Linked DNA regions of Mytilus edulis. The protein of the gene in region 1 purifies or fractionates together with the protein of each later gene. This does not show direct contact. Links are inferred from orthologs where the notes say so. Each region holds a gene or a part of one and is shown on either strand. Other genes may lie near its edges.

Region 1 (3,763 bases):
ATTATACATGTGCCAACAGTATGAGTATTGAGTAGTAGAGGGTAATATTTGAGTTTTACCATAAATTGGCATTTCTTCTACCAATGTTTCACTTCGCTGTGGTATTGGAGCTCTAACATCATCTCTAAAAATAAATAAGATCATGAAAAGTTATCTGACTAACACTATATGTACACAGAAAAAATAAAGCATGAGTAATATATATACATGTATCACAAAAAAAAGACTGGAGGTGATCATTTAGGAAAAATTATATTTGTTTTCAAAATTCCAATAGGGAACATACTACAAATGTATATATAATTGTATAAATAAACGAATTTTTCAAGACGTTTCGGCCATTGGCCTTCTTCAGTTCTTTATTTTATTTTAATTACCTATGTTTCTTTGACGCTCATGACACTTCCAAGTATGTAATGTGTAGAAAAGATGATGTATAAACTGCATTTGCATAATTTGTCAATTTAAAAAAAAAAAGACAATCAACTACATGTACTTTTCAACTTGTTAGTTTGAATGTCATGTTAGTATCATTTTCTTCCCTTTTAGTAAATAGCACATTTAGTATAAGGTCAAATCATGTAAATGAAAAAAAAAAATTTAATTTCAGGGAAAGTTGGACATGTTGGAGAATCAGAAGAGTGGTGTTCCAAGCAGGATTCATTAATTTTTGAAAATATGTTTGAAATCTACATAGAAATTTCCTTCAAAATTATTGTCATCATGAAAAATAATTAGGGTTTATAGGCATACCTTATGCTTCACAATGTTCATTGTTGTTTCAATTACTTGATTTTTTTCGTACACGTCATATCAAAATAGTAGAAAATAAATCCTCATAGAATTTAATCAATTATATTAATGATAAATTACCCATCATTCCCATAATCTGATGTTGACGGCTGATCATTCTCTGTTACAACACCATCTGTATTACTGTCCATGTGCATTCCTATGGCCATGTCAAGGTTACAGTTGCATGCTTCCAACAAACGAACACCAACTTCATTTGTAGCACCTAAATATTGAAAGAAGAAAATGTAAATACATATATCATGTAATTACTAATATCTATTAAAATAATTAAATTAATCATCATAATAAAACTAGAAGCTCTAAAGAGCCTGTGCCTCTCACCTAAATCTATGTGCATCTTTAACAATGGACATTCAGCAACATTGTACATGTAGACTAGATAATTCATAAGTAAAATCTCAGGGTTTTTTTATCTTTTAATGCAGATATTTTTTTCGGATAACAACATCCCTCTATCATCATGAACATGATTAACTTTACAAATGATACACAATGTCAGATCTTGAACATGTTGAAGTATAGAATAAGAATAAGAATATCATGAATATGAATAGTTTTATTTGTCAATCAAGTCACCCATGAAGAGCAGAATAATTAATACAAATTATGATATATGCATGGTTAACATTGATTTTATTGATTACAGTGATGAAAAAAATAAAACAAAAAGTATAGATTCTAGCTATCTATCATGTCTATAGGTACATTTGTACTGAGTGACATTTATTATCTTTTTGTGAAATCAATTTGATGTGGCTTTGTAAATCCTGTCATTGTGTAATTTTGCTATGGTTCATTTTTTGTATTCTTGTCTTTCTTTTTTTTCTTCTTTTTAAAACACAAAATGAATACAACTTGCACATGTTGCATAAATCTAGGTGCTGCCAGGATATAAACCTTTTAAAATTAGTTTTGTCTGCATTCAGGGAAAATTGCATGGTGCAAACATAGCCATTTTTGTTGAAGTGTATTGGTGAACCTTTAAAAAAAACTCAAGTTCATCGGATAGTTGCGGAACTGTAGCTCTTACTCTTTTAAGTCCTCAAATAAACAAAAAAATATCATGACCAAAGGATAATCTTTTGAGCTACAGTTCCACAGCTACTCATCATGTAACACCTGTCCAATGACTAAATCTTACTTTACTGTTTGCTGAGTATTTACTCTTATCTGGCGTTAGATTCGTGTCATAAAAAAAATAAAGCCCAAAAAAGCAAAATGATTGGAGTGCAAGTGCCAAATGTCAGGGGCTTAATGACAGTCATACTTCGTTGTAAGCTTTTCTTGTGTGATTATATTCAAGAGAATAAATAACCTAACGACTAAATCTAAAAAATGGACATCGAAATAACCTGTAATTGCACAGAACTGTTCTAAAATAGCATTATCAACATTTGTTGCCATTCTTCAAGCCGCTAACTTCGGAACCTCTCTCTTTCTGGTAACCATCTTACTCTTCTTCGGGAAAGGCGTCTTAGTCTATAACTGGAAACCAGTAAAAAAAGTTTAACTAATAACCATTTAAAATCCTAAAAAAGAATAGGAAGCAAATCTACGCCTTAGAGCCGTAATTTCCCAATGTTTGTAGAGTAAGGTTAGAATTTGTTTGTTTGGCTTGCTTGATTTGTTTGTATACTTAAAATGTTTGCTCATGTTTAAATCCATTTATCTTGTTTATAGTTGTCAATCAATCTCAGGCGCAGAGATCATATCCGTTCCGTTCAATTAATACGGCTTTGTCCGAACACTGAACACTCAATATGCAATATGTTTATGTCTTGGTATTCACACGATACATGTATAAGCTAGAGTTAAATGTGGCGCTGTTTTATTACTAATTAAATGCTGTTGATTGTAAGCCCATTTATAAGAGAAAAATATATGAGTTTACTTATTATTTTCATGTTTGAAATTTTTTTTAGGAAATCTTATTTTTTCACATCTGAACATAGAATTTCGGATTTCGATTTTCTGCACTGTAAAAGGGGGTACATTTCCTTATTTTTTCCTAAACTTTTTACATCGTAATCTCGCTAGGTTTTCACATCGATATTCGTAAAGAAAAGGGGTGTCCAAAGTAGGGCAAAAAATTTTACCCATTTTAAAGTAGGGGTCTCAATATTTTATAGGTTTTTCCTTGCAAGGTCGGTAGAATTAGAAATTGGAAAAGTATCTGTGTTTAAAGTAAAAATTCATTCAACTATCGGATTTTTTTATACTTTCATTTTCTAATCTTTGGTACATAATGCAGATGTTATAAAAAAATTAGGCACTTCTATCGAGTAGAAATGGAGAACGGTCATCTTTATTTTGTATGTCTCCACTATGGGGGCGTGGTCCTCCTTTAACCTTGTTTCTGAAGTACACGATAAAATTGAATTGAGAATGGAAATGGGGAATGTGCCAAAGAGACAACAACCCGACCATAGAAAAAAACAACAGCAGAAGGTCACCAACAGGTCTTCAATGTAGAGAGAAATTCCCGCACCCGGAGGCTATTTATCTCTCGAAATTAATTATCAACTAAATATCATTGAAACATAATGAGTATATTTTAAGACCACAATAAATTTTAAGTGCTACTGTATCTTTGTCAATATGACGAATCAAAATAAAGTTTTACTTACTTACTTAATATGAAAAGACCACGCCCACCTTAAATATATATAATTAAATATCTAAAGTAAATCATTATATTAAGACAAAGAGATTTGTAAACCTTTTAGTATAATGATCGATCCTTAAGCAACTTTTGCATTGAAGTGATAAAACAAAATGAAAATTACTTTTGTGCACTAGACAAAAATAGTGAAGAAAGTGGAATTAACTATTTTTGGAGTGTAAAAAATCTTTTGATGTTTAAGATGAATAACGTGCTTTTGGTGGTCCTTTTGATTCTGTTGACAGTTTTGACTTTTCTAGTCTTTACTCTACACTTTCACACAAT
Region 2 (3,763 bases), on another chromosome or scaffold:
TTAGCTGATCTGTAACAATAACATCTTCATGCCTTATATATCATGTACTGTAGTACGCTGCTAGATTAAAACTGACGAGGGAAGGTAACACACGGCCAGCGAAAGCTCTTTTTTTGAGAGCCCAGGTGGTTGTGTGGTCTAGCAGGACAGCTGCAGTGCACACGATTTGGTGTCACAATATCACAGTAGCATGGGTTCGAATCCCGGCGAGGGAAGAACCAAAAATTTGCAAAAGCAAATTTACAGATCTAACATTGTTGGGTTGATGTTTAGACAAGTTGTATATATATATATAATATATATCTGTCATAGAAGTGTTTGATCAATTGTTCGCTTTATTAAATACAGATAATTGCAATGTACATGATGTACAAGACCTCATAGTACATAACTTTAAATTTAAAATTTAAAATAATACACAGTGATGAAAAAACATTGAGCATATTGTGACAAATCTGGACTGATAATTGTTATTATTTAACCTATTATTTATTGTATATTACATATATCTATTTGAATATTGCCGGGTGGTCAACTTCTCGGGTGTGCACAAACACTGATAAATGCATTGACTTTCATACTCATGATTTAAACTATTTGTACTTTGCAAGTGATAAGGGCCAGTTTTATATGTATATCTTGGTAATGTTTACCTATGTCATGTATGTAATACTTTGATTTTCCCGTCATATAGTGGTTTATTTTGACAAATATCGTCGTGAGATTCAACTTGTTTACATCTGCCATGACACCGTTCTGTACTTTCACTTTGCGATCTCATATTATTATTTGTTTAAGTTAACACTTTATCAATGCAGATAAATTGTGTATTTATTATGTTTGTGCCTCCCTTTTCATTAACATTGTCTTTATTTATGATAGAACAGGGTTTTCATTGATCTCATTTAAGCATTATATCTAATGCGTAAGGTTATGTAAATTACACCCAAGTTCATACGCCGTATCGATAAAGGAATTTACTGTCCGTTTAAAAATAGCATTATGTAGAAATGTCCTTTTAGTTTTATTTGCTTTTAAATATAATTCGGACAAGAAGGACAAAATACGGACAACTCAATAACGAGTCTTTATTTAATAATAACGAAATCTGATTGTCTTCTTGAACGTTTCAAGCCAAAAGACGCAAGAAACGTTGCTTTTGATTGGACGATTAGATGTTTACTCTAACGTCATAGTAAGTGCCAAAAGACATAAATAGGAGCCTGTAGACAAACATGTCATTCTGAATCAATCTCTTGAACCGTCAACTACCTTTTATATTGACCACCCGATTTATTGCTTTATCTGTTGAATGATGAATGTGTATTTGATGTTTATTATATTGAAAGAAGAAGTCAAAATACTACTAAAATAAATATTGTTATGTTTATTACAAATGTGTTTCTCCACACTGCCATTTATTCCACTCCTCCTGAATGATGAGTTAAACAGTTTTATAGTAACCCTAGGTTGGTTACAATATTATATTAAATAACACATACTGGTTTATGAAAGGGTAATAGACCACATCCCTTGAAAATGCAAAAATATTGCCATTTACATAAGCTTGTGTACCACGACAGTCATCATATGCTCCCAAAAGGGTTTTTTAGCAAAAAAAACTTATTCATAGAAAGATTAATAATACACCAACAATTCATCTTACTTGTTTACAGGATTTTTTTAATTGAATAATACTTATATACAATTAAACATTATTGGACACCGAACAGGAGCAGAATATGTATTCTTTGTAACCTTGATGATGACATAATAAAAGTAATAGCAGGACACACGTCTAGGTGATACTTCCTTCTTCTTCTTTCGAATACGGGAGTAGTCTCCTAGGTAGGAGTGTAAAATACAGATACTGTATTCTCTTGAAATTTACTTGAGCTATTGTAGTACAGATAAAACTGTACAATTATTTACATTATAATACCCATTACATTGAGATACAGACGTAGTACTGCTTCATCATTTTTTGGACCATGGTCAAGAGAAAGCTATTCATTATTTAGTTCATTTACATTTTTGTAATCATGCGGTCTGCTGGAAGTATTATTCAATTTTGATTTTTATTTATCAACCTCTAGCTCTTGCCCCTGCCATGTCTTGTCTTATATGAATATCCTGCTTTGAACTTAACGTGCAATTTTGATTATTTCGCTTTTTGAAAGTTTGATTTTTTAAATAGAAAAGGGGCGAAAGTACATGTAAACACGGTTCTGATTATAATCAATCTTAGACATGTCAGACAAAATATAATTTTGGTATGGACAGAGCTGATTATTTGTGAGTAGAACTTCATATGTTAATTAGAATATAATATTTCTGATTCATATAGTGGTTCTTTCTGGATTTTTTTTTTGCAATGTTTTTGTGAGGAAAAAAATACTTCGACTTACAAAAAGGAAGTCAAGTTTTTACAGTAGTTTTAGAATCAATGACGGATTCAAACATGGAAATTTTTCCGAATCAAGATTGTCTTTCGAAGTCCTGTCACAGTGCGTCTTTATTCATGTTATTTAAAAAAGCAGATAACAATCTTATTGTTATATATAAATTTTAGATTTTTGGAAATTTGATCAAAGTTTTAAAATATAAAAATTCCAAATTGTGTAAAAGTTTTGAAATTTTGAAATTTTAACCAAATAATTAAAATATTAAAATTCTAAATATCGTTTTTGAATTTGATTGTTTAGAAGTTTGATCAAACTTTAAACATTCTTGAACTTAACGTGCAATTTTGATTATTTCGCTTTTTGAAAGTTTGATTTTTTAAATAGAAAAGGGGCGAAAGTACATGTAAACACGGTTCTGATTATAATCAATCTTAGTTAGGAATAAATAGCACGAAATCATTTTTTAATTACAAAATAAATAATTAAAAGAAGAAGTCGTTTTTTTTTTGTATTTACATATTAGACATCACATGGGATAACAGTGTCCAGAAATTTTAAGGTTGTGCATCTATTAAAAATATTTAAACCGGTATAAAAAAAAGTTGATTTAAATCTCTAATATAAGGTTAGAGTTTGGGATAAATAATTCAGAGCTATTTGGTGTCCCCAGTGCCAAACATTTATAGTATTATATATTTTTTTTTTTTTTTTTTATTAATTGCATTGTCTTATATGATTGAATTCAGTTCCAAGCAATGATACGGAGGAATACTAAATGTATGGTGCCGCAATGAACATTGTGCTAGGCGTGCTTCAGCTGCGGTCTCTAGACAAATAAGTGTACTGGTTCAGTGTTGGTTCAGTGATAATAGACATCTTACTAAACTCCGAAATATAACAATGAACTAAAATTAAAATCATACAAGAAAAGGCCAGAGGCTCCTAAATTGGGACAGGCGTACAAATGCGTCGGGTTAAACATGTTTGTTGATATCACAACCCTACCCCTCTTCCTCTATTCAATGCAGAATAAACAAACACACAGGCTCAGCAATACGCACTTTAAAAAAAATCGAAGTCCTATGTCAGAATAGGAAACAGAAGAAACTAATCACAATGACAATGATAATAAATTAACAAAGGATAGCTTTATATAAAGCTAGCAGTTACTGGCATATACCAGCTCCAGACCTCAATTAAACTAATTGAAAGATTCATCATATGAATAGCAAGCACAATCCTTCTCTGTTGTATTTATTGTATTTATTGCTAATTTGTTCCTGAACATTCATGAAATATTTGTCACTGGCAACCAAAAACCGATAATTTAAAATGGGTTGTTTAGATACAAATCACAA
Region 3 (3,763 bases), on another chromosome or scaffold:
TAGCTTCTACTCTCTTAGTACCATGCTCAGGAGACTGAATACGAACAACCTACCACAAAAAGTAGAACTTATTTATCATAGTTTGTTATAATTGCACAGAAATTAAAGATCATGTGACTGTTCATTAATAACGTTAGAGTACATGTAGTAATTCAACCTAATACAAACTAATACAAAAAGAAAAGATTAAACTGATCATAAAAGCAAAATGAAATTTAAGTTTTTAGTTTCAATACATGGTTTATAAACATGTACATGTAGGAAGCAATACTAATAAATTCAATAAAGTAATAAAATTGCATTAATATTAACGGACTCATACATGTCAACAAAATATAAATCATAACCTTTACACTAAAATTATTTACAAAAGGAGTGTTTTGTGTTCATCTATAAGCTGAAAAAAAATTTACGTGGCAAATTGGGCGTTATGTCATGTAAATGTTCTGAAATGAAGTCAAAATGTGCATGACATTTGCATAGTTTGTATTTTGTTGTAAAAGGACTTGAAATATCTGCCTATGGACAACGCTTTTATAACGCCATAATCAAATTGTGTCTTGAGAAGTACATCATCAGTATGATATTGTTCTAGTTTATGTCATTATGATATATTTCTATTATGAATTACAAACTACGTTGAACCATAAACGTCAAAATCATTCAATCGCGTAGTGGAATGTGTGGATTCTTATAAATTCTGTATATATATAACTTTTGGACTATATTCAATCTCGGTCTATTTCTGATATTTATTCTTACATACTTTTGATTTTTTAACCCTATATGCTAACATTGCCTATGTAAATTTTAAAATTGTTTGCATGCACAATGAACGACAAATTTATGTGACGTATAAAAAAAATTTCTGACATCAGACACACAAATCAATGAATGTGTTTGTAGATAGATGTTTTAGAGTTCTGTTAAATTGTCCCTTTTAAAATTGCTATACGATGATGACTGATGTACCCATATTTTGACTATTTTATTTATTGTGTCTGTTTAGTTTACACATCAATGTAAATATAACGGAATTTGACAAGACTGTCATCAAAGTGAGAGGGTTAGCCCTATAAAACCAGGTTTAATCCACCATTTTCTACATTTGAAAATGCCTGTACCAAGTCAGAAATATGACAGTTCTTGTCCATTCGTTTTTTATGCGTTTTGTTATTTGATTTTGCCATGTGATTATGGACTTTCAGAATTGATTTTCCTCTAGCTAAGTTCAGTATTTTTGTGATCTTACTTTTTTCATATACATGTATGTAAGGGTAATGTAAGTATTTTCCCAGTCATAATTCTAAATGTATAAATTAATTAAACCTTATTCTATAGCCATCATACTATCAGGAATCTGATGTACAGTAGTTGTCGTTTGTTTTATGTAATTCATACCTGTTTCTCGTTTTTTATATGGATTACTGATTAGACCGTTGGTTTTCCCATTTGAATGGTTTTACAGTAGTAATTTTTGGGCCCTTTATAGCTAATTGTTTCATGTGAGCCAAGGCTCTGTGTTAAAGGCTGTACATTGACCTATAATGGTTTACTTTTATAAATTGTCATTTGGATGGAGAGTTGTCTCATTGACACTCACACCACATCTTCCAATATCTAATCATTATTCTAGTGCAACAACGTTTGTAACGTTCATTTTGATTGGATTATGGATAGCATCACTTATTTACATGGCATCAATTGACAATTGATGCTATGGGATGTATGCGCAAGTGCAGACAGCATATGACAGATTTTAAATACATGTTTAAACGTTGTTTTCTGTCAGTTTCATTAGAATGGAGATAACAATATTGTATTTTAGGCTCCAACAGCATCAATTGGGGATTTGATGGTCGCAAATACCAGTTTACTGTCTCCGCTAACGCATGGCCAGTAAACTTAATTTGCGACCATCAAATCCCCAATTGATGCCATCGGAGCTTAAAATACCATACAGTTATCTCCTAAATATCCAGTTATTTTGTTATTCTATTTAGTTCAAAATATCATATATATATTGTATTGTACTTTGTTTAGTAATTACAATGATATTCTGCTTAGTAATAGGTGCTGTGATTGGCACCATAAAATATCTTGTATACAGAATTGTTCAGTTTCAGTTTCTGGGAATCATATTTTAGGAAAAAACCTACAACACGACCGCCACCTATCACATTTGTTTCACAAACATAACATATGATATATTCCATTGTGATGTGATAACATACCGATGAAATATTTTTTTCTGGATTTAAAAAAGAGCATTTATAAACGGATTTAATCATAAAATATATGAATATCTGATTGGTATTTAGAGCCCTATAAATTTTGTCTCTATTGTTTTTATAACATCGTGCTTAACTTACAATTGGCTTATGCTTGGAACTAGCCATTTTTGTTGTGTATTTCAGAGGAATAGTTTTGAAAATGAAAATATTAGTAATTTTCTACAAATAACTATTAGCAGACAGCTGACTTGCAAAAGCTGAATTTGTTCACCTGCGTCAACAAAACGCTTTATAGTATAATTCATAAACCAGTGAATGCTAAACACAGTTATGATTTAGAAGTCATATTTTGTTCGAAACTGTCGCACTTGCAGGAACAAGTTAGTTTTCGGTATCAAAATATGAAGTTAAACACATAACTTTTATTGTTACATAATCAAGGAAATTTGTATATGATATATCTTATTTTAGACAATTTCATAAAAACGACTTCCGGAACCATGGAAAATATGTAAACAACATGGCTACTGTAAAGACATTTGATGTCACTGCAGGTGTGTATATTTTTAACTTAATATCATTTGCTTTGTTAAGTTTCAGCAGAATTAAACTGTCTGATGATAATCTTCAGAAGATTCATGTTTTACCTAGTTAAACCAATAAGGTTGTCAATTGAGTGTTATTGTTTTCTCTTTCATTGACTTCATATATCATATTTGATTTAATTTTGATATATTCCTACTTTATTTTCCAATCCGTTATATCTGGAATCATGTCTTACCTGAAAAGATCAACAATTTCAAATCTGTTCTAGTTACTCCGCTTTTGCCAATTGTTAGATATTCTCCGTTAACGGATTTTGATTTGTGTTCAGTCATGTTCACTCCACCTTTTAGTTTCTTAAAAGTGAATTATTTTTCTAAGTCATTATGGAAGAAGTAGGCTAAGATCCAAAAAAATTTAATCGAACCTTTTCACCCATTTTCTCAATATGCGTTGGAAGTGACGATGCCTACATTTTAGTCACGTGGTGATGGAAGTCACATGACAGATACAACTGAAAACCCTTTAATGGAAGTGCCGTATCGGAATAGGTTATTTTTTTTACTTGTGTCTTTCACTGGAAAAGATCATCAATTACGCACTCGCATTATGACATTATTTATCAAATAGAAGGTGTGACTGTCTCCCTGCACTATTAAAGTTTCAAGCATCTTCAGGATTGTCATTCTGTAGGGTAGTCTAGAAATTATTCATGTTCTGTAAGTACATAATCTAAATTTCTATACAACTGCAGAGAGGGTGACTAACTAATTAGATTTTGATTTCCTGAATATTTTGGGCAGTACAGCATCAAATTATTTACCTATTAGTATCCCAATACATTATGTACATGTATGTGTTTGAAGTGATGATGCCTACATTTTGATCACATGGGAATGAAAGTCACATATAAGGGATACATGTACATGTATAACCAAATATTGTATTTTGGAACTGGTGTATATACAAATGTATGAAACTTTCTT

Evidence for each region.
Region 2: the proteins of UBX domain-containing protein 7-like (region 1) and kelch domain-containing protein 3-like purify together in Homo sapiens (affinity purification with mass spectrometry; 3 studies listed by BioGRID and IntAct, with this or other methods). This does not show direct contact. The link is inferred for Mytilus edulis from reciprocal best matches to the Homo sapiens genes UBXN7 and KLHDC3.
Region 3: the proteins of UBX domain-containing protein 7-like (region 1) and nuclear protein localization protein 4 homolog purify together in Homo sapiens (affinity purification with mass spectrometry; 3 studies listed by BioGRID and IntAct, with this or other methods). This does not show direct contact. The link is inferred for Mytilus edulis from reciprocal best matches to the Homo sapiens genes UBXN7 and NPLOC4.

Annotation. Positions count from the first base shown.
Region 1 is NC_092344.1:63,283,943-63,287,705, forward strand, and holds the start of UBX domain-containing protein 7-like, read right to left. Parts: upstream 2,308-3,763; 5' UTR 2,221-2,307; coding exon 2,169-2,220; intron 1,019-2,168; coding exon 874-1,018; intron 125-873; coding exon 60-124; intron 1-59. UniProt on the Homo sapiens protein: Ubiquitin-binding adapter that links a subset of NEDD8-associated cullin ring ligases (CRLs) to the segregase VCP/p97, to regulate turnover of their ubiquitination substrates.
Region 2 is NC_092346.1:24,036,643-24,040,405, forward strand, and holds the start of kelch domain-containing protein 3-like, read right to left. Parts: upstream 2,452-3,763; 5' UTR 2,409-2,451; exon of another isoform or gene 2,399-2,408; intron 1-2,398. UniProt on the Homo sapiens protein: Substrate-recognition component of a Cul2-RING (CRL2) E3 ubiquitin-protein ligase complex of the DesCEND (destruction via C-end degrons) pathway, which recognizes a C-degron located at the extreme C terminus of target proteins, leading to their ubiquitination and degradation.
Region 3 is NC_092352.1:9,707,039-9,710,801, reverse strand, and holds the start of nuclear protein localization protein 4 homolog, read right to left. Parts: upstream 2,522-3,763; 5' UTR 2,400-2,521; coding exon 2,373-2,399; intron 50-2,372; coding exon 1-49. Other genes in the region: uncharacterized protein, read left to right, coding at 2,755-2,788. UniProt on the Homo sapiens protein: The ternary complex containing UFD1, VCP and NPLOC4 binds ubiquitinated proteins and is necessary for the export of misfolded proteins from the ER to the cytoplasm, where they are degraded by the proteasome.